Linked DNA regions of Rhinolophus ferrumequinum. The protein of the gene in region 1 interacts with the protein of each later gene in a biochemical or structural test. Links are inferred from orthologs where the notes say so. Each region holds a gene or a part of one and is shown in the gene's direction. Other genes may lie near its edges. The genes, in order: CHAF1B and ASF1B.

Region 1 (10,876 bases):
TTGTGCAACCACCACCATTTCCAGAACTTTCGACATCCCAAACTGTATCCACTAAACAATACTTCATTCCCCTCTACCTCCAGCCTGTAGTAACCTCTAGGTTCTGTCTTTGAATTTGCTTATTCTAGATACTTTATATAAGTGGAAACAAAATATTTGTCCTTTTGTATCTGGCTTATGTCACTGTGTGAAGTTTGTAAGGTTCATGTTATTGCCTATCTCGATTAAATTCCTTTTTAAGGCTGAAAAATATTCCATTGTATGTATAGACCACAATTTGTTTATCCATTCATCCATCCACGGACGTCTGGGTTGGTTTCAATTTTTTGCTATTAAAAGTTATGCTGCTATGAACATTGTTGTGTAACTGAGTCCTTTCTTTTGGGTACATACGCGTACACTTGTTCATAGTATTCTATTTTCATTTCCATAATCTTTATTTCCATAACATCAATAATAATGTCCCTGCTTTCTTTTCTGATTCTAGTAATTTGAGTATTCGTTTTCTTCCCCTCATTCTAGCTAAAGGTGTCTGTTTTGTTGATCTTTGCACAAAACCAACTTTTGGTTTTGTTGTGTTTTCTATTCTCTATTGCCCCTCCCATTTTGAAGTAAATTCTAAACAAAAAATATCTCTAAACATGAAATTATCTCAAATAATCAGATTTAAAGTTTTCATTTTAGATTTTATGAGAATTTTAAAGCACAAAAATAATACTGTTATTATATCTCAACTATTGATAATTCTTTAGTATATCTAGTCAGTGTTCAAATTTCTTTGGTCACTTCTTAATTATTTTTCCAGCTGCTTTTGTTTAACTTGGGATCCAAACAGAATCCACACATTACATTTCTTTGCTATATCTCTCAGGTTTCTTTAAATCTGTAGGTCCTTCCTTTTTTTAGTCATTGAAGAAATCAACATTTTTCTTTCAGCATTTCCCTCATTTTGATATCATTGAATTTTTAAAAAATATCTCGTATTTCCTATAAAGTGGTAGTTAGATCGACATTGTTAATCAGATTCAAGTTCTTTTTTCTTTTTCTTAGGTGTTACTTTGTTCTTCCTATTGCATCACACTAAGAGGTACATAATGTACATTTGTCTCCTTTTATTAAGATTAATCAGTTTAGATGGTGTCAACCCAGTCTATTTATTATAAAGTTCCCTATCAGTCTATTACCTAAGGATTTTAGCATCCATTAATAATCACACCTAGATCCATTATTTTATTATGAGTTGTGAAATGGTGATACTCTTTTTTTTTTTTTTTTTTTGAGCTGGTGGGAAATCTATAAAGCAAACCTATTTAGTTATCCTAAGGTACAGTTCATATAGAATAGGCAGAATAAATGTTTGACTCCTGGCTTGTTTCCCAAATACCTTCCAAATACAGCCAACAGTTTTTGGTGGTGTTGCTATTGCTAATAGAAACTTGTGTATTTCAACATTTACTGTGTCTCAATCCATTGTGGCAATTTTCCAACGTTAAATTGTCTCGCTTTGGCTGGAGATCTCTTCAAATTGGCTCCTGTCTTTAGTATATAATCCTAGTAGTCTTTGATTTTCTTGCTTTCTGGTATAATGAGGTGTTTGAGGCTCATCTGATACATTTTCTGTTCTAGACTGGGAAACAGCCATTCCTCCAAGGAGCTGTGGTTCTTTTCATGGAGAATGTTATTCAGAGACCATAATCTAGGCACAGATACCTACATTCTTTGCTTGTTTGGGCATTTCTTCTAGGCCTTGAGTGGACTGAGCTAGGAAATCCTTCATTTTTCTAAAAGAGAAAATATATATTGAATATATGCCAGTATTGCCAATTTAGAGGCTTAATTTGTTTTCCTAACCACAATTATTTGCTTTTCCCAGATATAAACACATGCACTCATATACATATGTAACAATACCAATATCCTTGTCATAGGATACTGAAGAAGTTCAAGCTTTCTTTGAGATACCACATTTCTGTGCTTGTCAATCACTTGAAATAATTCCTTTTATTCCATCATAATGCTGCTTCATCCATGGTGTTGCATGTGTCAGCATTTCTTTTTGATCACAATAGAATTCCACTGTATGAATATTTCACAGTTTGGTTATCTTTTCTTCTGTTGATGGGTATTTAGTGTCTTTCCAATTTTGGTTTATGAATAAAGCTGCTATAAACATTCTCGTGCAAGTCTGCTTTCATTTTTTTTACATATATACTAAAAAGTGGAATTGCTGGATCGTAGGATAGATATCTTTGACTTTACTAGAAACTGCTGAACAGTTGCCTGAAGTATTTGTCTTAGCTTAGGCTGCTATAAGAAAAATACCCTAGACTAGGTGGCTTAAATAACAAACACATTTCTCACAGCTTTGGGGGCTAGGAAATCCAAGATCAAGGCACCCACAGATGCAGTATCTGAGGCACTCTTCCTGGTTTGTAGATGTCTCTTTTCACTGTCTGTCGCGGCATACCAAAGGAAAGGGAGTGGGGAGAGTCCGTCTAGTCTCTTAATCCCCTTATCGGGGCACCAATAGCATGATGGGGTCTTCACCCCCGTGACCTCATGCAACTACCTCCCTAGGCCCCCACCTCTAACATTGCACGGGATTGAAAATAGGAATTTTGGAGGGACAAGAACATTGTGTCTGTAGTAATTTGTATCATTTTACACTCATCAGCAGTGTGCCAGAGGTCTTGTGCATTCTGTGCTGATTTCTAACTTTGTATCCTATTTTTCCTGTCTTTTGTTGTGATAAAATTTGCTCAACATCTTTTCCCAACCCAGTATTGAACTTCCTGCTGTTAAGTATTTTTGTGCACTCCTATTTGCCATTCTTTAATAATGTTTTATGGGGACTAACTGACTTCATATTTTTATTCCAGAGTTGTCACATTTAGAAAAGGAAATTGTAGAGAAGTGGGTTCAGAGAAGTCTTTGTTATTTGGTTTTTAAAGCCAAGGTAAGATTTATTCCCTTTATGTTCATTTTCACTATAAAGTTCTTGGGAGACCAAATAACACTGGCCCACTTAGAGTCATGTAATTCTGCTAAAATCAGTACTCTGGCCCAAACTGGAGGTGAGTGGTTGTTGATGCTGTAGAACTTCTTTCATCCAGTCCAGGGCAAAGCTCTGAGGTCTCAACCAAATTCTTTTACTTTTCTTTTTTGAGAAAACTTTTAGCACAGCCCAGGGCCCCACTCTAGGCCACCAGCTTCTGCATGTGATGGCCCACAAAGCAGGAATTGACGTCAGGTTGCAAAAATTTTCAACAAGAAAGCAAACTCCTTCATGTATATTTAGTACCTAAGCATGTGTCTTATCTTTTTAATCCAGTCTAGAATCCTGGCACCTCAGGAGATTGTCAGAGGATTCATTTGTGAATCGATAGCATTGCTCAGAAATTTGGAGAAACCTGAGAGTTATAAGAGACATTGAATCCCGGGCTTTCTAAATCAGACTGATGATCAGACTCTCCTGGGAGCTTGTGAAGAGGCAGACCCCTGGATCTCCCTGTTGGGTAGTCTGAATCAGTGGGCCCAGATAGGGCCAGGAATCTACTTTTAAAACAGCCAGATTATTTGTAGTACATACTAGTCGTTCCCAGTCCAAGCTCTGTAAATCCTAGTCATGATTTAAGCAAGAACATCTAAAAGCTACATATCTGGATTATGTTATCCCGAGCTTCCTGTAGAAACAAAACTTCAGGAGCCTCATTCTTGTCAACATGAGACATCCATTTTGTAGACTATTTCTATATCATAAAACTGGCTCAAAGCTTCAACCAGCACCTATGTAAGAAGAATCCATGTCAATTCTTTTCCCTAAAAATGCCAGGAAGAGTTGGCTTCTCAGATGAACCTGTATCTTCCTTTTATCAAGTAAAGACTATGCTTCTCAAGGTATTTGTTTCCTGACTCAAGGAAGCTCACTGGCAAGCTGACCCATTTGGAAAATTATCCCATTTCAAAAGGCTTGCTGCATCAATTTCTCCCTTTAAAATGTTAAATTCAGTTTTTAAAAAGTGTTTATAACCACATATGCTAATTGGGGTATAATGTAAGCAATCCAGTTACTGAACAATCCCATAGCTTTGAACTCTCCAGTGTTCTAGAAGCCAATATATAAAAAAGAAACCTCACTTTTTGTTTGCAAAGGGAGAAGGAGACCTGGTTGATTTCAGTGCCATGATAATCCAGAGAGAAAAGAGGGGAAAGGTGGGGAGAGGGCGAGTCACATGTGGAAGGCTTTCTTCTGCAGGTTGCAGGGGGTTTTGCAAAGTCCCCTGGCTTTGAAGGCCCAGAAACCTGTTAGTCCCCACAGGGAGAGTGTCCATCTGTCAGGGCCAACCTCATGTCCACCAAGCTCCCAGACTAATGTATGCAATCAGGATTCCAATTAATTTAGAATGAGAATTAAAATTGCCTTTGAAACGCACGTGTCCATTTGACCTGCTCATTCACGTCCAGAGGCTTCTGGGTCATTGCCCCACCCATCCTTTCCCTTTGCAGGGCTCACTGCTCCCACTTTGTGCCTCTGTTGTCCACTGAATTTCTTTAGCTTGAATCCCCATTTCCCAGAGCTGCTCATCCCAAACTCCAGCACCTGAAACCCCCTTTAAACGCCCCCTTCTCTTCAAACTTCCTTTGAGCCTTCAAATCCAAAATAAAATCGTCCTCAGAACTGTAAGAGCATATCGTTCCTTTCACGCTGCTTTTCACTTTTTATTATACGTGTGTACCTGACTACAGACAGTCTCTGTGTTTTATTGATGTTTGGAATTCTAGAGACCAAGACGGCCTGATACAGGTTACAGCTCTCAAACATTAGGTTGGTATAAAAGTAATTGCTGTTTAAAAGGTTAAAAAAAAAAAAATTGCAAAAACCGCAATTACTTTTGCACCAACCTAATATTTGCTGCACCAGTAAGAGATTTGGTAGTCTTGGGAGGATCTCAGAGTTACAGCCTTCCCACCTGTCCTACAGGACGACTCTTCCCTTCCTTCTACCGGACTGTAAATTCCCTGAGGGTAAGTCTAAGTCAGCTTCGCGATCCATTGTGTATCCGGCGACCGCACAAGGTCCAGCATATAGCAAATGATGAGTAAATTTTGCTAAAAGACTGAATCTACAAGGAAGAAGTTATGGAACTAACGAGTGAATGAACTACCCCCATTGTTTCTCCGGTGCCTGGGTCCAGCGGGGAATTAGTGAGCCGGCAGGAACTAGCCCCAATGGAACGACTCAGCCCCGGCTGGACCAACCCAGTGTGCTAGGGCGGGCAGGCGGGGCGTCCTGAAGCCCCGCCCACTCGGGGGCGCGGCCTGCGGCGCGCGGGAAACCGCGCGCGCCAAGGCGCTGCTGAATTGGACGCGTCCCTGCAGGTATGTTTTCTGCGGATCTGGCTTGCTTGTCCCCTTGGGTCTCCGGTCCGGGCGGGGCGGGAGCGAGAGACTCTCGCCGAGGGCAGGCTGCAGGGGCCCGGGATAGCTCCAGAGCGGCGCGCGTTTAGGCGGCCAGTTCCCGCCAAGGCCCCTGCCCCGCGTGGTCTCCCAGCTAAACCCGCTCTTGGCTTCCCCGGCAGACCGCCCTGTCCCGCGAGGCCTGGGAAGGGCGGGTCCTCTGCCCTGGGAGGCCCCGACTGTGGGAAGTGGGGTTCCCCCCGCGGCCGCGGCTCCCTCCCTCTGCGGACCCTTTACCCGGCAGCCCCCACCTCCCCCTTGGCCGCCCTGTCCCTCTGGGGCCCCTCCCCCGAACAGCTCCCTCCCACGGGCGTCCGGGCTCCTGGGAAGTGTGGGTGTCCAGCGGCCCGGGTCTCCTCCTCCGGGTCGCACCCTACTACTGCGTCCCCCTCCGCACAGCCCCCTCCCCTGGAGGACCCGGCCCCTGGTTCTCCAGGCGCGCTCGCCAATCCCCACTAAGGGGGGGGGCGGTTGCGCAGCCAGCCCCAGCCCCTTTAACTTCTCTGCCTGAGGGTTCCTTTTTGCTTTTCGGTAGCAGCAGAACAGATTTAACAGGCGAGGTAGAACTCGCAAGGTGTTACGTCACAGGTCAACATTAACATCCTTTCCCAGTACAGCTTACCGTTTTAATGTTTTAGCAGGATTCCTGGTTCATAATAAATGTTGAATACACCTGGGGGATTCAAGGTGTATCAACACAGGTACACAAATCTTTGTCCTTTCCTGCTATATCCATTTCCAACGATTTTCAGCTTTCCTGTCTGGAAATAGAACGGTGTGCGAGGAATATTGTTGCCCCTTCAAGACTCAGGAGGATGAAAGTCATCACTTGTGAAATAGCCTGGCACAACAAGGAACCTGTGTACAGCCTGGACTTCCAGCATGGCGCGGCCGGGAGGATCCACAAACTGGCGTCCGCAGGGGTGGACACCACTGTTAGGGTAAATCTGGCAGAGATAGAAAGGCACAGAGAAGCACCAGTGAAGCAGCATTCTCCAATCTTTTATGTAAAACTGATGTTATGCAACTCAAACTACTTCCTCATCTAGTCCAGAGGGATAGGTTCTCCGGGTCTTGAGTGAACAATGAAAGCAAAAGAAAGCAGATTTCTTCCTTGGGTAATATTTCTTAGATTGACATAACTGGACGCCCATTATTTTAAAATCCTGAGCCAGATTCCTATTGGGGAAGAGTCTGCGCTAGAAAGAGATAGGAGGGAAGACTACAGGCAGTGGGACCATGGGTTTGTTTCAGAAAGAAGTTTCTTCATTTTATGTTGCAAAAGAAAAACTAAGTTTCCACCCTGAAAGTAAGCGTAGTACTGTTTTAGTATGCATCTTATGGTAGGTGCTCACTCTGTGTTTCTCTGAATGAATGTTTTGGTACCAACAGATCTGGAAGGTAGAAAAAGGACCAGATGGAAAGGCCATTGTTGAATTTTTGTCCAATCTTGCTCGCCATACCAAAGTTGTCAATGTCGTGCGTTTTTCTCCAAGTGGGGAAATTTTAGCATCGGGAGGAGATGGTGAGTATTGCACTTCAAAACTCTTTAGAAAACACATACCCAGGTGTCACGTGTTAAATAGTGAGATTTGAGCTTAGATGGCTTTTTTATTTTAGAGGTTGCTTGACGTTCTCAATCTATTATTGAAATAGGTTAGTGAAATAATGTTCTGGGGAGCAGGCATGGGTGGAGGACAACAAGCTTAAGCTGAGAAGACCTATTTGAAAATGGCCCCTTTCCCACTGGGCTGGTTTGCAGGCAAGTAGGAAGGTGTTTACCATTCTGTCAGAGTCCCAAGGCAACTGTTCTATCTGGGCTTGATTGTTAGTTTAGTATATGTAAGTGGTCACAGTCTCTTCCATGTTTCCGTACAATTAATTGGCTTAGGGACTATTGTCCAAATGGCCCTGTAAATTGTTTGGGAGAAGTAGATTGATTCCTACTTTCTGCTTTTACTTAAATGGCATAAAACTTGTTGAGCAAACTCAGAAAGAGTCTGGAGGCTTTGGCTACAAATAAATGATAGAGCTTTATTCAAGGGTCTTAGAGTTGGCACACTGGGAACAAAGCTAGGCAAAATCCCAGGAGTGTTCCAAAATGGAAAGAGAAGTCAAATGTACATTCTTTTTTTTTAAAATGGGTTAGGGTTTTTTTTTTTTTTAATTTTTATTGGGGAACAGTGTGTTTCTCCAGGGCCCATCAACTCCAAGTCAAGTCGTTGTCCTTCAGTCTAGTTGTGGAGGGCGCAGCTCAGCTCCAAGTCCCGGCGCCATTTTCAATCTTTAGTTGCAGGAGGCGCAGCCCACCATCCCATGCAGGAATCAAAACGGCAACCTTGTTGAGAGCTCGCGCTCTAACCAACTGAGCCACCCTGCCGCCCCAAAAGTACATTCTTGAGAATTCTCAGTCCTGCCTTCTCAGGCCTAGGATTGGTCCAGGACGGTTGTCACTCAGGTGTCTGGCAGTCTGGCTGATGGATGTCAGGTGGGCTAGAGGATGTGCACCATGAGGTTTGGTCATGCCTGGCAGTCTGGATACTGGATGTATGGTGGCCTGGATATATGAGTCCTTTAGTGGGCGATCAGAAAGTTATCTGGAGGTCTGGTGTATATTCAGATGAATATCCAGGCATTGACAGGACTGGAAAGTTAAAAAAGTTTGAGTTTCTAGGCTAGGTACAACAAGAATAGTCCTTCCTCATGCCTCAACCTTCATAACGTTAATAATTTTAACACCTTGGTTAAAGGGACTCCATTTTATATATTCTCTATCTTCACTCTTCAGACTATACAGAAAAAGTAAATCTTTTTACCATGCTTTAACAATAGAACATTCTAGAAGTCAGTACAAAATAAAACAAAAATCTCAGATTTTGTTTACAGGAGGAAAAGAGACCTGGTTATTAGATTCAGTGCCATGATGTCCTGGGAGGGGAGAGGTGGTGAGTGGGGAACACCACCTGGGGAGGCCAGTGGGCTGGCTCCGGCGAGATCAGAAAGGTCTCGCCAGCACTCGTTATACAAAGTCCTTTGGCTCAGAAACCTGCTGTTGTTAGTCAGCATGTGGAGAGCGTCCATCTGTGGGGCCAGTCTTCTCTCAGCCAAACTCCCAGGCTTCCAGTTAATTTAAAATGAGACCGCAGGTGTCCACATAGCCAACCATTTCATTCACTCTCCTCCTGCAGGCGTTCCTCAAAGGGAAGCCAGGGCACGGTCAGGTTTTGTGGTGAGTGTGGAGTCAGAACAGAACGTGGGAGTCAGAGGACTCAGACAATTGATGACATCAAGCTAAGGTATCTGATGTGTCCGTGATCTCAATAGCTGACACATCTATGGGCTCTCCATGTGCCAGGCATTGTGTTGTGAGTGCTTTATGCATATGTACTCATTTAATCCTCAAATAGCCTTCTGAGGTAGGTATCCTGTTATCCCCATTTTACAGGTGAGGAAACTGAGGCATTAAGTGACTTGCTAAAAGTACGCAGCTAGGAACGATCTGCCAACTCTTGTGTTGGTGGCTCTTTGCTGTTGTTTTTTTTTCCTATTCAGTCATTTATAGGTTATGCCTTTAGATTTGTTAATGTAGTCAGTCGCTTTGCAGTGGTGTTTTGCTGGCCTTGGGACCCTTCTGTTTCAGGTGACTTTGTATAGCTCTGATCTGGCATAAGTTTGATTTTGGAGTTTTAGTTCTATAGGCAAACCTGTTTTTCTTGTCTGCATTCTGAGAAGTCAATCCTTGTGGCCATCGTGTCTATTGAACAACATAAATATTACTTAATGCCCTAAAACTCCAGACGTGAAGGGGTGTGCTATAATAGAGCATGGCTTCTTTTTCTTTAATTGTCGTTTTAGAGCTCCCCACTTGTATCCACTCCCGCCTTTCCCTTCACTGAACACTTCTGCAGGCTACAGGGGACCAGGGAACAAAGCTGGGGCCTGGCACCCCCACCCCGCTTCCATTCCCGCCCCAGAGAAGTCACAGCTACAAATTATCAGCTACCTAGTGCCTGTCCTTGACAGGTCAGGTGGGCATCGTGAGGAGGCCCAGCTCCTCCCTGCCAGCTGGTCTGTTTGCCAGTGCCTTAGCTGTGGAGGCGATGATATGCCTTCAGAAGCACCGCTCACCTTGACTTGACTCACTCCACAGATGCTGTCATTCTGTTGTGGAAGGTGAATGATAACAAGGAGCCCGAGCAGGTTGCTTTTCAGGATGAGGATGAGGCTCAGCTGAATAAGGAGAACTGGACGGTGGTGAAAACCCTGAGGTACCCTGGGGGGGGCTGTGGGCGTGGTCCTGCCCTCAGTGCCTCTGCCTGAAACGCACTCTGACTTCCAGATCTTGCTTGAAACTTTGACTTATGCAAGAAAGAAATAAGAGAGAAGAGCTTTAAAAGAGAAAAGCATGATTAAAATGGATTTTCTTAGTTTCTGCTGTACAATTTCCCTTAGTAAAATTGAGTCTGTTTTAAAGCTACAACTATCCTTGAAGGTAGTGGAGTGTAGCTATAGCGAATACAGTTCCCAATGGAAATTTCTAATATCCCGTTCTAATGTGTGGTCCCTGAGTTTGCCTGTACATTTTTGATAGTTTTTCCTCTCCCTTCTCCCATCTTTTTCCTCTTCGGATTCTAGGGGCCACCTAGAAGATGTGTATGATATTTGCTGGGCATCTGATGGGAATTTCATGGCTTCTGCCTCCGTGGATAACACCGCCATCATATGGGATGTCAGTAAAGGTAGCTATATGTTTTTGTTACTATCAGGGGAAGGAATATTTTAAGTGTCTAAAAAGACTGCCCCCATTGTCTTTAAAGGAGTAAGAAGAGTGTCTTTAGTGAGCTAAAATAGGTGTTTGGCACGACAGGTTAGGGATTCGCCCACATGCCACGATCCAGCTCAGTTTTAGGGTCCCAGGCAGAGTGTATGAGGCTTAGCAGTGGTGTCGTGAGTGACTGGTGCCAGAGCAAGGTGGGTCCCACAGGCCTGGGGATGCGTCCCTGATGGGGGCAGGGCTGATCCCTGCCTTCGTGGAGCTTAGGATCTTGGGAAGGTCAGCAAGTCACAACTAATGGGGGCACTGAAATCTGCGTGTCAGGGTAGGTAGGATCAGCTTTCCATTTTAGACGATCAAAGAAAGCCCAGCACACCTCACAGCTTTTCGAGAACCTGCTCTCTAGCTGGGCAGACGTACACACTGAGAAATTACAGTGTAAAAAGAGCGTGAAATTCCAAAGGCCAGCGGCGTTGATGTCCAGCCCTGCAGGCCTTTTACTCACTCTGCTCTGTGCTTTCTCCCAGCCTCTTCCTCTGCTTTCCTCCGTGGTACAGGCTTCTAATTCTCCCACAAGCCAGGTGCCCTGGTAGGGTCCCTGCCGCCACCAGCGTCGTCTCGTCTTCATCCTCTCCGTAAAAGTCT
Region 2 (11,994 bases), on another chromosome or scaffold:
TTTTTATTTATTTAAGTGTGTTTTTCCAGGACCCATCAGCTCCAAGTCAAGTAGTTGTTTCAATCTAGCTGTGTAGGGCGCAGCTCACAGTGGCCCATGTGGGGATCGAACTGGCAACCTTGTTGTTAAGAGCACCGCGCTCTGACCAACTGAACTAACCGGCCGCCCCAACAAAATTTTTTAAATATTTAACTAAATTAGTTAATAAATCTAATTAAATGTTAAACATAAACAACCTATGTTATTAAAAAATAACTATACTTTTTAAAAAACAAAGCAGTGAAAAGAATGGCATTGTTTTACATTTTTATAAAGCTCTTACTGGCTTAATGGGGAGACAGCTGGATTCTCACACAGACTTCTGCAATCAATTTGTTGTAATATGCTGTTTTGGTTGAAGTATATGAAGAAAATCCAGCCTCACAAAGATACATAGTTGGAAAAGGAAGGAGAGTATTATAGCCTTTTCAGCTAATAGGAATATTCTACTTTGTTACTACACCAAAACTCAACAAGTGGTGGTGGGTGTATAAAGTTAGTTACAATATGGAATATGAAACTGCATCAATGAACTTTTCTTACTCTGTTACATTGAAACCCATTAGTCTTATCTTACAATTTTAATTGATCTTTTCCCTAAGCATGATTTTGTAACATCATGCATCGGTCTTTGGGAAAATACTGACCTACTAAGTTATTACATTTCACTACACAATATTTTTAGTCATATTTGTTAATATCACCACTGATATCATCAAAAAAGCTTTTAAATATTAAAAAATGGCCAGATTCATGGTGGTGAATAAAAGTTTCCCAAACGTCTAAGTTTTGCTTGAAAGCTCAGATTTTATCATTGGCAGCAACGGTCAGTTGTTCTCACAGTGACTAGCTTACTCCATTCATTTCTGAGAAAATATCTGCTGAATACCCTAATCTGAGTAACCAGTCTGTCTTTCAAGTATAAATGGTGTTACATGAAAAAAAAGTCACCAGTTTCACCTCAACTCAAACAATTGTATTATCAATTACCATCATTCTTCAGCATGCAATAGAAGTACTCTATGAAAACTTCCCATTTCACCACACAGAATATTAGAAAGATCTGTTGCAGGGCTAAGCTTTAACACATAATTGTGTTATGTGTTATACTTTTCACTGTTTCTTCAAGGACATTCTTAAGTGAAAGTATTTTGTTTTATGTTGGAGTGTGTGGCGGCGAGGAATACAATAATAACTACTGCTAGTTTGGTGACACTACCTTGATTCCTGCTAAGATGCCAACAGTTTTACCCACCATTGCTTTTATACCAATAGTGCACATGACAACACAGCACAAATGAGAAAGGGAAACAACTCCTTCAAATTATTATGACAATGGTTTATCTCCTGGATCTCCTAAAAGGGTTTTGGGGATCCCAGGAGATCACATTTTGAGAACCATTGAACTACTCAACAAATGGGTCTGGTACAACTGGTTGATCACGTGGAAAAATTAAATCACAGTCCTACCTCACATCATAAACAAAAATAAAGTCCAGGTAGATTTTATTTTTTAAAGATGAATATGAAAAGTAAAACTTCCAGGATAAAACACAGTAAGATATCTTATTGACCTCAGGATAAGATTTCTTAAACAAGGGTCAAAAACCACAAAATATACATGGATTGGTAATTCTGATGACATTAAAATAATAAATTTTGAACATCAAAAGTCACCATAAAAATGAAAAGGCAAACTTCAGATGTGAGAAAGAACTCCTAAACTTAGTAAGACGAAGAAAACCCAGCAGGAAAATGGGCAAAGATATGAAAAGGCAATTCACAGAAGGCAAATGGTCAATAAACGTATGAAAATGGGCAGGCCCCCAGTGGCTCAGGCGTTTAGAGCTCCATGCTCCTAACTCCGAAGGCTGCTGGTTCGATTCCCACATGGGCCAGTGGGCTCTCAACCCCAAGGCTGCCAGTTCGATTCCTTGATTACCACAAGGGATGGTGGGCTGTGCCCCCTGCAACTAGCAACGGCAACTGGACCTGGAGCTGAGCTGCGCCCTCCACAACTAAGATTGAAAGGACAACAACTTGACTTGGAAAACCTAGAGGTACACACTGTTCTCCAATAAAGTCCTGTTCCCCTTCCCCAAATATATATATATATATATATATATATATATATAAAAACAGCTCAACACTAGTAATCAGAGTAATGCAAACTGAAACCTAATTCACACCCATCGGAAGGACAAAAACGTAAAAGTCTGATAATACGAAGTGTTGATAAGGACACTGAGCAATAGCAACACTGCTGGTAGGAGTGGGAATCACGATGATCTATTTGAAGAGCAAACTGTCAATATCTAGCAAAGGTGAATACTCCCATAACCCATAAGCCAGCAATTCATCTCCTAGGTTCGTATCCTAGAGAAAATCCTGCATGTATGCACAGGGAGACATACACAACAACACTGTTTGTAACAGGTGAAAGCTGGAAACCTAAATATTAACCAAGAGGTGAATGGGTACATAAACACTGTCCAACAAAATTTTCTGTGATCATGGAAGTGATCTCTGTCCATGCTGTCCAATGCAGTAGCCATTAGCCACAGGTGCCTATCCAGCATGTGAAATATGGCTAATGTGATTGGGGAAATGAATTTTTCATTTTATTTAATTTTGATTAATTGAAATCTAAATGACCACATGTGGCTACTGGCTACATCAGATAGCACAGCTATGCAGCAGTGAAAATAAATGAATTAGAGCTATATACATGTGTCAACATGGATAAATCTCAAAAGCATTATGTTGGACCAAAAAAAAGCAAGTTTCAGACGGTAGGGCAGGTCTAGAGTGAAGGAAGTTAGGTGCCTAGGGTGAAAACTGTAGGAGGTACTTACCCTCAGGGTCATACAAGTGCAAATTGGACACTTGAGCGACCCTGAGAGTGAGCACCTCCTAAATTTTGTGCCCTACGTGCTTTCCTTGCCTTACCCTAGTTCCAGCCCTGTCAGGATCTATCTAGTATGATACTGTGTCAGGGTTCCCCAAGATCACCCCCAGGTTCAATGATTCCCTAGGAAGACTCGCAGGATTTAGCATATAACTGTATGCATGGCTATGATTTCTTACAACAAAAGGGTACAAAGCAAAATCAACCAAGGGGAAAGGCACAAGGGGCCTAAAGTCTGGAGGAAACCGGGCACAAGCTTCCAAGAGTCCTCTCCTACTGGTGTCAAATGTGACGCGCTTAGTTCCTGCAGCAGAGCTGTGACAACTCGTGTGAAATGTTGTCTACCAGGGAAGCCTATTAGAGGCTCAGTGCTAAGGTACTTATTGGGGGTTGGTCAAATACCAGAATTCCAGACTTCAGAAAGAAAGCAGGTGTTCAACATAAACCACACTGTACAAATAGTTTAAGCACCATAAGCCACTCTTACCATTTAGAGACTGCTGGGAACCCTCCTAAAATCCAAGTTCCTAGACACCAGCCAAAGGCCAGCTTTGCCAATAGGCCTTTCTAAGAATAGCTGTCTCAGGCCTCTTAGGTTAACTCTTTTTTGCATAGATATCATTTATATAAAATTGTAGAACATGACACACTACAATAAAAGACACATGCATATAAAGATGCACAACATGCACAGAAAAATAAACACCAAATCCAGGGTTGCAGTAACACTGGAGGAAAACGGGAGAGGAGCAGGTTTGAGAAAGGGCCTTTCAAATGCATCACTAATGTTTTACTTCTTCAGCTGGGTAATGAGTAAAAGTGTATTTTGTCATAGTATTTCTTAGAGTTTTTCAAGTGTGTGCACCTGAAATATTACATAAGGAGAATACAGACTTACCTGCTTATTATATATAACAGTTCATGTTTATTGCGTGCTTTTTACATTCCGGGTACTATGCTAAGCCCTTTATATGGATTTATCCTTTTTTAAAAAACCTACTGAAGACTTTCTATGTGCGAGGCCCTGTGCCAACCTCTAGAAATACACTGAGAGGTCAACATGAAGCAGGTGAGAGCTCTGCCCTTAACCTTTCAGTCTACTGAGGGATGATGGGAAATAACAAGCACAACTTAAAACCAACATAAGTACAGATTCTGAGTGCCCCTAAGATAAAACTGGGTGACGTGATTAAGGAAGGGCAACTTGAACTAGGGTGGTCCAGGAAGGTTTGACATTTGAGTTGAACCATAAATGATTTGAATGAGACAACCATGCAATTATTTGAAGAAAGCAGATTCCAGAAAGAGGGAACAGCAAGTGCAAAGCCCTACAGCAGGAATAAGCTTGGTTTGTTGAAAGACAGGAAATAAAGCCAGTTGGGCTTGAGAGTGGTGACAAGAGGGAGACTGTAGATGAGGCCTGAGAGGTCAGCTAAGGCCACCATGCAGAGCCTCCTAAGCCACAGTAAAGATCTTAAGTTTCATTTTAAGTATGATAAGCCTTTTGAAGGTTTTAAGTAGGGTAATAACATGATCTGGTTTACAATTGAAGATTATTCAGCCAGCTGTACGCATAACGCATTACAGACAGGGCCATTTTTTTCATTGGCACCACAGACATAATGCTTGTGGCTGATTAGCTTTTCAGCTAATCAGCTGAAAAGGTTGGGGCTAGGGATAAAGGGAAACAAAGTTCCACAATGTAAAAAGAAAACTACAAAGTTGGAATGAATAACTGTTTAATTAAACATCTAGAAAAATGTAACATTATGGCAACTTTATTCATCATTAAATTTAGTATTCATAAGCAACTGAATTACATTTGAAAATAATTTGAAAATTAGATTTTCTAGAATCACAAAAACTTGCAACTATGCCCAATGGTTGCCAAGAAATCACAGGCATTACAAATGTGAATTTTCTTGTAGCCAAATAGTTTTTGGGGAGAGGTCTCAATTTTTTTAAATGCAAAAAAAAGTTGTGTTTTTTTTGTTTTTTTTTTTACTTGAGATGTAGCTATAAAAACATACCTAGCATTATGAGGCTGTAAGATTCTAGGGAGGCCACAGAAGTTGCTAGATAAGAAATGCTAGTGACTTGGACCAGTCTATTCAGGCTTACTCTCTGTGAGTTTTAACACTGTCCAGAGGACTGTTGGTAAAGCTTTTCTGACAAGACATTTGAACAGAGAGACGTAAATGACAAGAAGGCACCAGCCATGCCAAGAACTGGGAGAACAGATTCTAGGTAGAGACTCTGCGCAGGGAATGCCATGTCAGATTTTTAAGGAACAAAGAGGGGGTCAGTTTGGCTAGACTGAAGCTGGGGCTGGTGGGAAACAAAGCATGTAGTCTTAAAGACAATACAGTAGTGCCCCCTTACCAGAGGAGGACACATTCCAAGACCTACCCTCCGTGGATGCCTGAAACCCTGGATAGTACCAAAGCCTATATATTCTCCTATATATACATACCTATGATAAAGTTTAATTTATAAATTAGGCACAGTCAGAGATTAACAACAATAATAAAATAGAATTATAACAATATACTGTAATAAAAGTTATGTGAATGTGGGGGTCTCTATGATATGCTGGACAAAGGAATGATTCACCTCCTCGATAGCACAGGCTAGTACAAGATTTCATCTTTCTTCACAACACTCAGAATGGTGCGCTATTTAGAACTTATGAATTGTTTATTTCTAGAATTTCCATTTACCATTAAAGTGAAGCCAGGGAAGGGTAGGATTGGGTGTGTGTGGGGGGGGCATAGTTTCCTGGGAACGATAGAAAATCACTCACGTTATATGCAGGAGGATGACTGATTCAATTTCAGACCTGAACTGTCCAATAATAATACAGTAGCCACTTGCCACAGGGGCTATGAGCACCTGAAAATAGCTAGTGCCACCCTGAAACAGAACTTTCCATGTCACTCAATTTTAATCAATTAACATTTCAATTTAAAAACCTGCATGTGATTGAGCTCATGGAAAACTTTTAAGTATGTTGGGAACAGCTTGGACATGTGAATCTACATTTTCAACTGTTAAGTTTTATAAAACTTAAAGCCAGACCAACTCTTTCTAATGAAAACATAGCTGTACTCATAAGTGTAAAACACCCAGGATTTCGCAGCCTTACTACCCAGTAAAAAATGTAAGCTGTCTCATTTGTATTTTTTACACCCATCACCTGTTGAAATAATATTTTGTTTATACTGGATTAAATGCAACATATTAAAGTTAATATTTTTTAAAACTTTTTTTAACGTGGTTACTAGAAAAATGTAAATTAAGCATGTGGCTCGAATTATTTTTCCACTAGTTGTGGGTGGTAGCAGAGAGGGTGTGTGTTGAGGTGCCTGGAGTCTTCCAGGCAACCAACGGTGCTCCAGCTCGGCATGTGGGTGGAGAGAAGTTTCTAGATGTACCATGAATCATGTCAATGAATTTTCACGGCTTCGTTCAATGAGCAGGGAAACTGTGGCCTCGTGAGCTAAGTGGCTGAGGCCGGACTCGAACTCCCAGTAATAGCGTTGTCCACCTGACACCTCCCAGCGGCCCTCGAAGGGACGAGAGCGGGATTCGAACTGGGGCCAACTCCCGGGTCCGCGCCCCAGCGCCGCGTTACCACCGCTCCATCTCCCCTCAGGGGTGAGTCAAACGTTCACAACGTTCACAACGAACTCCCCGGCCGCTGGGCCTGAGGGGCCAAGAGGCCCTCAGAGAAGCTCCAGATAACGATCACCTGCCGACAGACGCCAAAGCAGCAAACGCTTCTCCTTTCTCTTCACACCCCGCTTAACCGCGCCGCCGCTTATTTCCGCTCCTCTCCCACGAATCCCCAGCCGAGTCTTCCTCTCCTCCCGCCCCCTGAGGCTAACCCAGCCAATCACATCTCACAGAAGCTGCTTTACTCCTTTCTTACCTGCCAATCACCGCTGGCTCGAGCACCACCCTTCCCGCCCTCTTACGCTAGCGCCGCGCGCCACCGCTCGGCAGTTGGCGGCGCTGCTCAGGAATTGTAGCGTCTCCCGGAAGGGAGAGGCGAAGGGCGGGCCACGCCGGTGCGGGAACTCTCGGCATTGGCTGAGAGGAACACAGGCTCTGGCTCCGCCCACCCCGCCCTTGATATCCGAGTCGGAAACGCTGGGGATTGGTTCCCGGCGGACACCCAAAAAAGCCGAGATGGTCTCACCTCCCACGCGCAGCCCCAAGAGGGAGCTCAGCGGATTGGCCCAGGGAGTCTCGGCGCGCGCCGCCCGGCGCTCCAGAATTGGTTAAGGGGGTGCTTGCGCCGCCGGGGAGCGTTGACGGTGATTGGCCGGAGGGTGCGGCCGGCTATTTGAAGGAGGCGCGCGGGCGAGATACGCAGTTCAGTCGGCAGACCAAGGAGGCGGTAGTCTGTGAGCATCGCTGTCCGGCTGACCCGACAGGACCCAGCCGTGGGCTCCGCCCCAGCTCTGGCTTGAACTGCGGCCTGGCGAGGCGATGGCCAAGGTGTCGGTGCTGAATGTGGCCGTGCTGGAGAATCCGAGCCCTTTCCACAGCCCCTTCCGGTTCGAGATCAGCTTCGAGTGCAATGAGGCCCTGGCGGACGGTGAGGCTGGGCCTGTATGGATTCCCCCCCCCTCTCCCGTTCCCCTGGCCAACCCGACTTCCTCGTAGAGGCTCCCGCGGCCAACACCGACCTCGAAATACACCCCCAACCCTGATCTCCCCACTTCCCTCCCCGCCAGCCCCAATCTCCGCGTGGAGACTTCCTCCCACCCCCACCTCACGGCCAACCCGACCCCCTTACCCAGTTACTCCGGTTTCCCCCCGTGGAGACCTCATCATTCCCTCGCTCCCTTTTCTTCCTGTGGAGCTCCTGGGCTTTCTATGTAGAGACCTTATCCGCCGCCATTCTTTAACTTGCGGACACCCTCAGCCTCCCCATCTTCCCTGTAGCAAGAAACCCCCCACCTATTTCTGTGTAGAAAATTCTATTTTATTCCACCCACTCAGTCTTCCCCCACCCATCCCCTCCTCTCTGTGGTGAGACACTCCTGCCTCACTTTTTTCCTATGGAGACTCCAACCTCCAGCCTCCCATTTTTTATTTATACGGAAACCCTAGCCTCCCATTTCCCTTATGGAAACCTCAGTCCCCTCCCCCAGTTTCCTTGTGGCGGCCTCTCCCTCAAGTTCCCTCCTTTTCCTCCCAGTGGAGCCCCTCCTGTGACCCTTTTTCCCTGTGAAGACCCTCTCCTGTGGCAAGACCTCACTCACCCCCATCTCCCCATTGTCTCCCAATAATCCCCTCCAGAACCTGCTGATATTTAACCAACCCCATTCACTTCTTGTTTTCTACCCCAAAGTACGTAACCTAGAACCTGGCTTCCCTTCTCCTTAGCCTGGCCCCAACCCTTTATTCTTGAGCTCCACCTGAGGAGGCATAGCCTGGCTTCTAGCTCCAGTCTTTGAGGATAACTTGGTTTCCCCAGCTCCAGTTCCTACCTCCTCCCTGACTGTGTACTTCGATGAACACACTCAAATCTGAAGGATGATCTAGCCAGGCATTAGCCAGTTCCCACTGTTTGCCTGCCAGGTTTCGGCTTGACCTACTGCCATAGTTCCTCCGGCACTTCTGATGGTCTGACCTAGTCTGGAGGGTATGTGGGCCCGGCTGAGCCATGATGGTACCCAACTTCAAGCAATCAGCTGGGGGATCACAACCTTTGGGGCATCTTTTCCAAGGTTTCACTGATGTACTTATTCATCTGTGTGACATAAAGGTGGACATGGCTCTCATCTCACAGATGAGAAGACAGGAGCCACAAAGAGTGACAGACCTCGCAAGGAAAGATCTGTAAAAATCCAAAAATCTAAGGTCGCCCAGGAAGTGTTAGCACCACTTTCAAGAGGAAGTACAAGCACAAGCATACCTTGTTTTATTACACTTCACAGATGTTGCATTTTTTACAAATTAAAGGCAAGACCTTCCACCAGCAAAAAGATTACTACTCAATTTATTGCGGTGGTCTGAAACCAAACCACAGTGTCTTTGAGGTATGCCTGTACTCCATTAGACCACTTCACTGGGTTAAAGAAAAGAGGCAACAGCTGAGGAGGTGGTCTGTGAGGCCAGGGTGTACTAACTAGCGCCTCTTGATGGTAGGTGGGTGGTTTGCCTGCAAAGCCGGCCCCTGGGATTAGTTTGGGGTTGGTACAGTTTGAGATTCATGTGCTTGGGCTCAGTCTCCCTGGTTTTTCTCCTTTTTAAATTACAGAGTCTACTTGTGGCTAACTATAGAATAAGTACAGTTAAATCCTTTCTGGAACAAGGCAGGGTGTAAATAAATAAATAAAGTGTAGAATGTCACACTGGAATAAGATTTAATTTTAAAGCCAGGAGGAGATGTAAGGAGCTAATAGATTAAGGGATTCACAGTTCCCACATGGCAGGAGATCAGGTTTCAATCAGCCTGCTTGTGCTCCTTGCATTTTAAAATGGTTATGTGGTCATTTTCTAATACTTTTATTCCTATGAAGCCCCTGCTCTGTTATTTTACTAACTTGTTTTTAGAATCAGAGTAGGAAAGATCCAAAATCAACCTGCTGGTCACTATTTTTTAATAGAAACAGAATGACTACTCCATGGTCACATAGCTGGTTGGCAGAATTATTGATACTAGGGCTTTTCTCTGAGTTCTTAGTCCAGGGTTCTTTTATCTCTGCTATAACCTGGGAAAGAAAGAATGCATCCTCTATTTTAGAAGTGGAACATAAATAGAACTGATCGTAGAATTTATTTCCACATCAGGACACTCTCACAAGAGAGCAAAGGGTGTCCTGTTATTAATTACACCCAGACAATAAAGATTTTGCTCAGAGAAACTCGAGTTGCAAAGCAAACTCTAGCCTGGAAATCCAGACTCTGTTCTTCTTAGGGCTCTCTGTGACTCTGACCTGCCAGTTTGCTTTCTACTTCTTCCTGGCCCTCTTCCCATGGAGCAGAAAGAATTAGTTTCCTGCCTGTCTCCCAAAAAGATGAGTGGGCCTGACTTTAGAAGTCTCTCAGATCCTGGAGAAATCTTAATCTTATCATCTCGACACTGGCAATTGAAGATCTGACAAGACACCCAAACCCCCAGTCAATCAGCTGACCTTGTTTCCCAAGGGCTCCAAGGTCTTTTTGCTCTCTTTCTCCTGAGCATCTGGAAATAGATGCTTCCAAAACATGGGTCCACATTTAACATACATATGTTTTCCCCCATTTACCTGAGAAGTTCAACAGACATTGCTTGAATAAGTCATGGGGCCAGATATTCTGACCCACAGCTAACACTCTGGTCAGGCCAAGGTTCATCTGTATGATTACAAAGACAGTGATAAACAGAAAAAGGCCTATTAGATAAGTTTTTTAAAAAAGAGGCAGGAAACAGCTTCTTCTGCTAGTTCAACTACAATAATATTTTACAGGTCTTTTATGGCATTGGTTTTGGTTTTGTTTCCATTCATAGTGGAGGAGCATCTTGTGCAGTGGTTAGATCGTAAGGTTAGGGCATAAAAACAAAATGTAATGCAGTTGAATTCCCTTGAAATTGCCCAGTTGTTAGGTACACATGTTACATGTATATAATTGTCCTGTATTCAATAGAATGAGTTTATGCTGTATTGGTGACTGATGTCCCATTTCTAATTTTTTAAATTTTTTTTTATATTGGGGAACAGTGTCTTTCTCCAGGGCTCATCAGCTCCAAGTTGTCCTTCAATCTAGTTGTGGAGGGCGCAGCTCAGCTCCAAGTCCAGTCGCCGTTTTCAGTCTTTAGTTGCAGGGGGCACAGCCCACCATCCCATGTGGGAATTGAACAGGCAACCTTGTTGTTGAGAGCTTGTGCTCTAACCAACTGGGCCATCCGGCCGCCCTCTAATTCTTTTTTAAGGAGGGGGCAGCTCACAGTGGCCCATGCAGGGAATGAACCAGCAACTTTGGTGCTACCAGCACCACGCTCTAACCAACTGAGCAAACCGGCCACCCCCCATTTCTAATTCTAAAGAAGAGTTCTATTAAAAAATGAAGTCACTTTATGCTTCAGCTTAAAACACTTCAACTTGAAGATGATTCCAATTTGTAGGTCCTTTTGCCTTCCGTAGGTGATTTTATCAGCTCCTGCAACTCTTGAGTCAATATTTCTCTGGTCCTCTGTTAATTCTCTGGTGTCTTTCCTATTGAGGGAGCCATTGTGGCCCACTTACTTGCCTGGCTGCCCACGCAGTGTTTTCTCTTCCGGTCAGCACCCACTCAGTCTTTGTTTAGGTTTTGCTAACAATATTGAACATCAGGTGCCTGTGGCTTGCCCCTAGCCTGCTCTATTTCAGTCTCCTTTTTATCTCCCCATCCTCTAGCACATTAGTTAAATGTACACATATGTGATTGCACTGGTGATGGGGGAGTGGCCAGAAGGAAAGGTACCAAAATCTAGAGCTGTGTGAGAAAGGTGAGAACAGAGTTAGCTGGTTTTGTTTGTCCCAAAACATGTTATGTCTAGGTGTATCACTACTTATAACAAAAATAAATCTATAAATTTAATCCTCTCTGCAAACAATGAGACTAGAGTTTGACTGAACCTCAGTGAGCCCCGGGGGTCACCATACCCCACAGACCTGCTAGGGTCCCTGAGTAGCTCTGGGCAAAACTGCAAAGGGACAGGAAGCCAGTGTATCGAGGAAGAGCTTGGGGCTCAGGTGACTAACCTCTAGTCATGGCCGGGTATCAGTGTGCTTCCGAATGTGGATGCACTTGCAGGACAGTGGACCAAGGAACAGGGCAGCTTCCAAGAGCATTTGCTTCCTGTGAAAATCACAGCTTGTGAAACTTCCCCCAGCTGCTGGAGCAGTAGGTTGTGTAATTTCAGAGAACCTAAAATAAGTTTCAGGTCTCCTGCCAAGCTTCCCTGTACTAGAGTGACCTTGCCCCTGATACACTTGGACCTCCTGCAAGAGGCAGCGGTCCCTGGGAATTTCCTGTGATTGATAGGCAGGGTCTCCTTAAGCACTTTT

Evidence for each region.
Region 2: the proteins of CHAF1B (region 1) and ASF1B form a complex in vitro, tested with the Homo sapiens proteins (2 studies listed by BioGRID and IntAct). The link is inferred for Rhinolophus ferrumequinum from reciprocal best matches to the Homo sapiens genes CHAF1B and ASF1B.

The regions. Positions count from the first base shown.
Region 1 is NC_046285.1:101,721,606-101,732,481, forward strand, and holds the start of CHAF1B (chromatin assembly factor 1 subunit B), read left to right. Parts: upstream 1-5,314; 5' UTR 5,315-5,379; intron 5,380-6,209; 5' UTR 6,210-6,272; coding exon 6,273-6,398; intron 6,399-6,849; coding exon 6,850-6,982; intron 6,983-9,607; coding exon 9,608-9,725; intron 9,726-10,092; coding exon 10,093-10,196; intron 10,197-10,876. UniProt on the Homo sapiens protein: Acts as a component of the histone chaperone complex chromatin assembly factor 1 (CAF-1), which assembles histone octamers onto DNA during replication and repair.
Region 2 is NC_046301.1:47,876,487-47,888,480, forward strand, and holds the start of ASF1B (histone chaperone ASF1B), read left to right. Parts: upstream 1-7,131; 5' UTR 7,132-7,441; coding exon 7,442-7,550; intron 7,551-11,994. UniProt on the Homo sapiens protein: Histone chaperone that facilitates histone deposition and histone exchange and removal during nucleosome assembly and disassembly. Cooperates with chromatin assembly factor 1 (CAF-1) to promote replication-dependent chromatin assembly.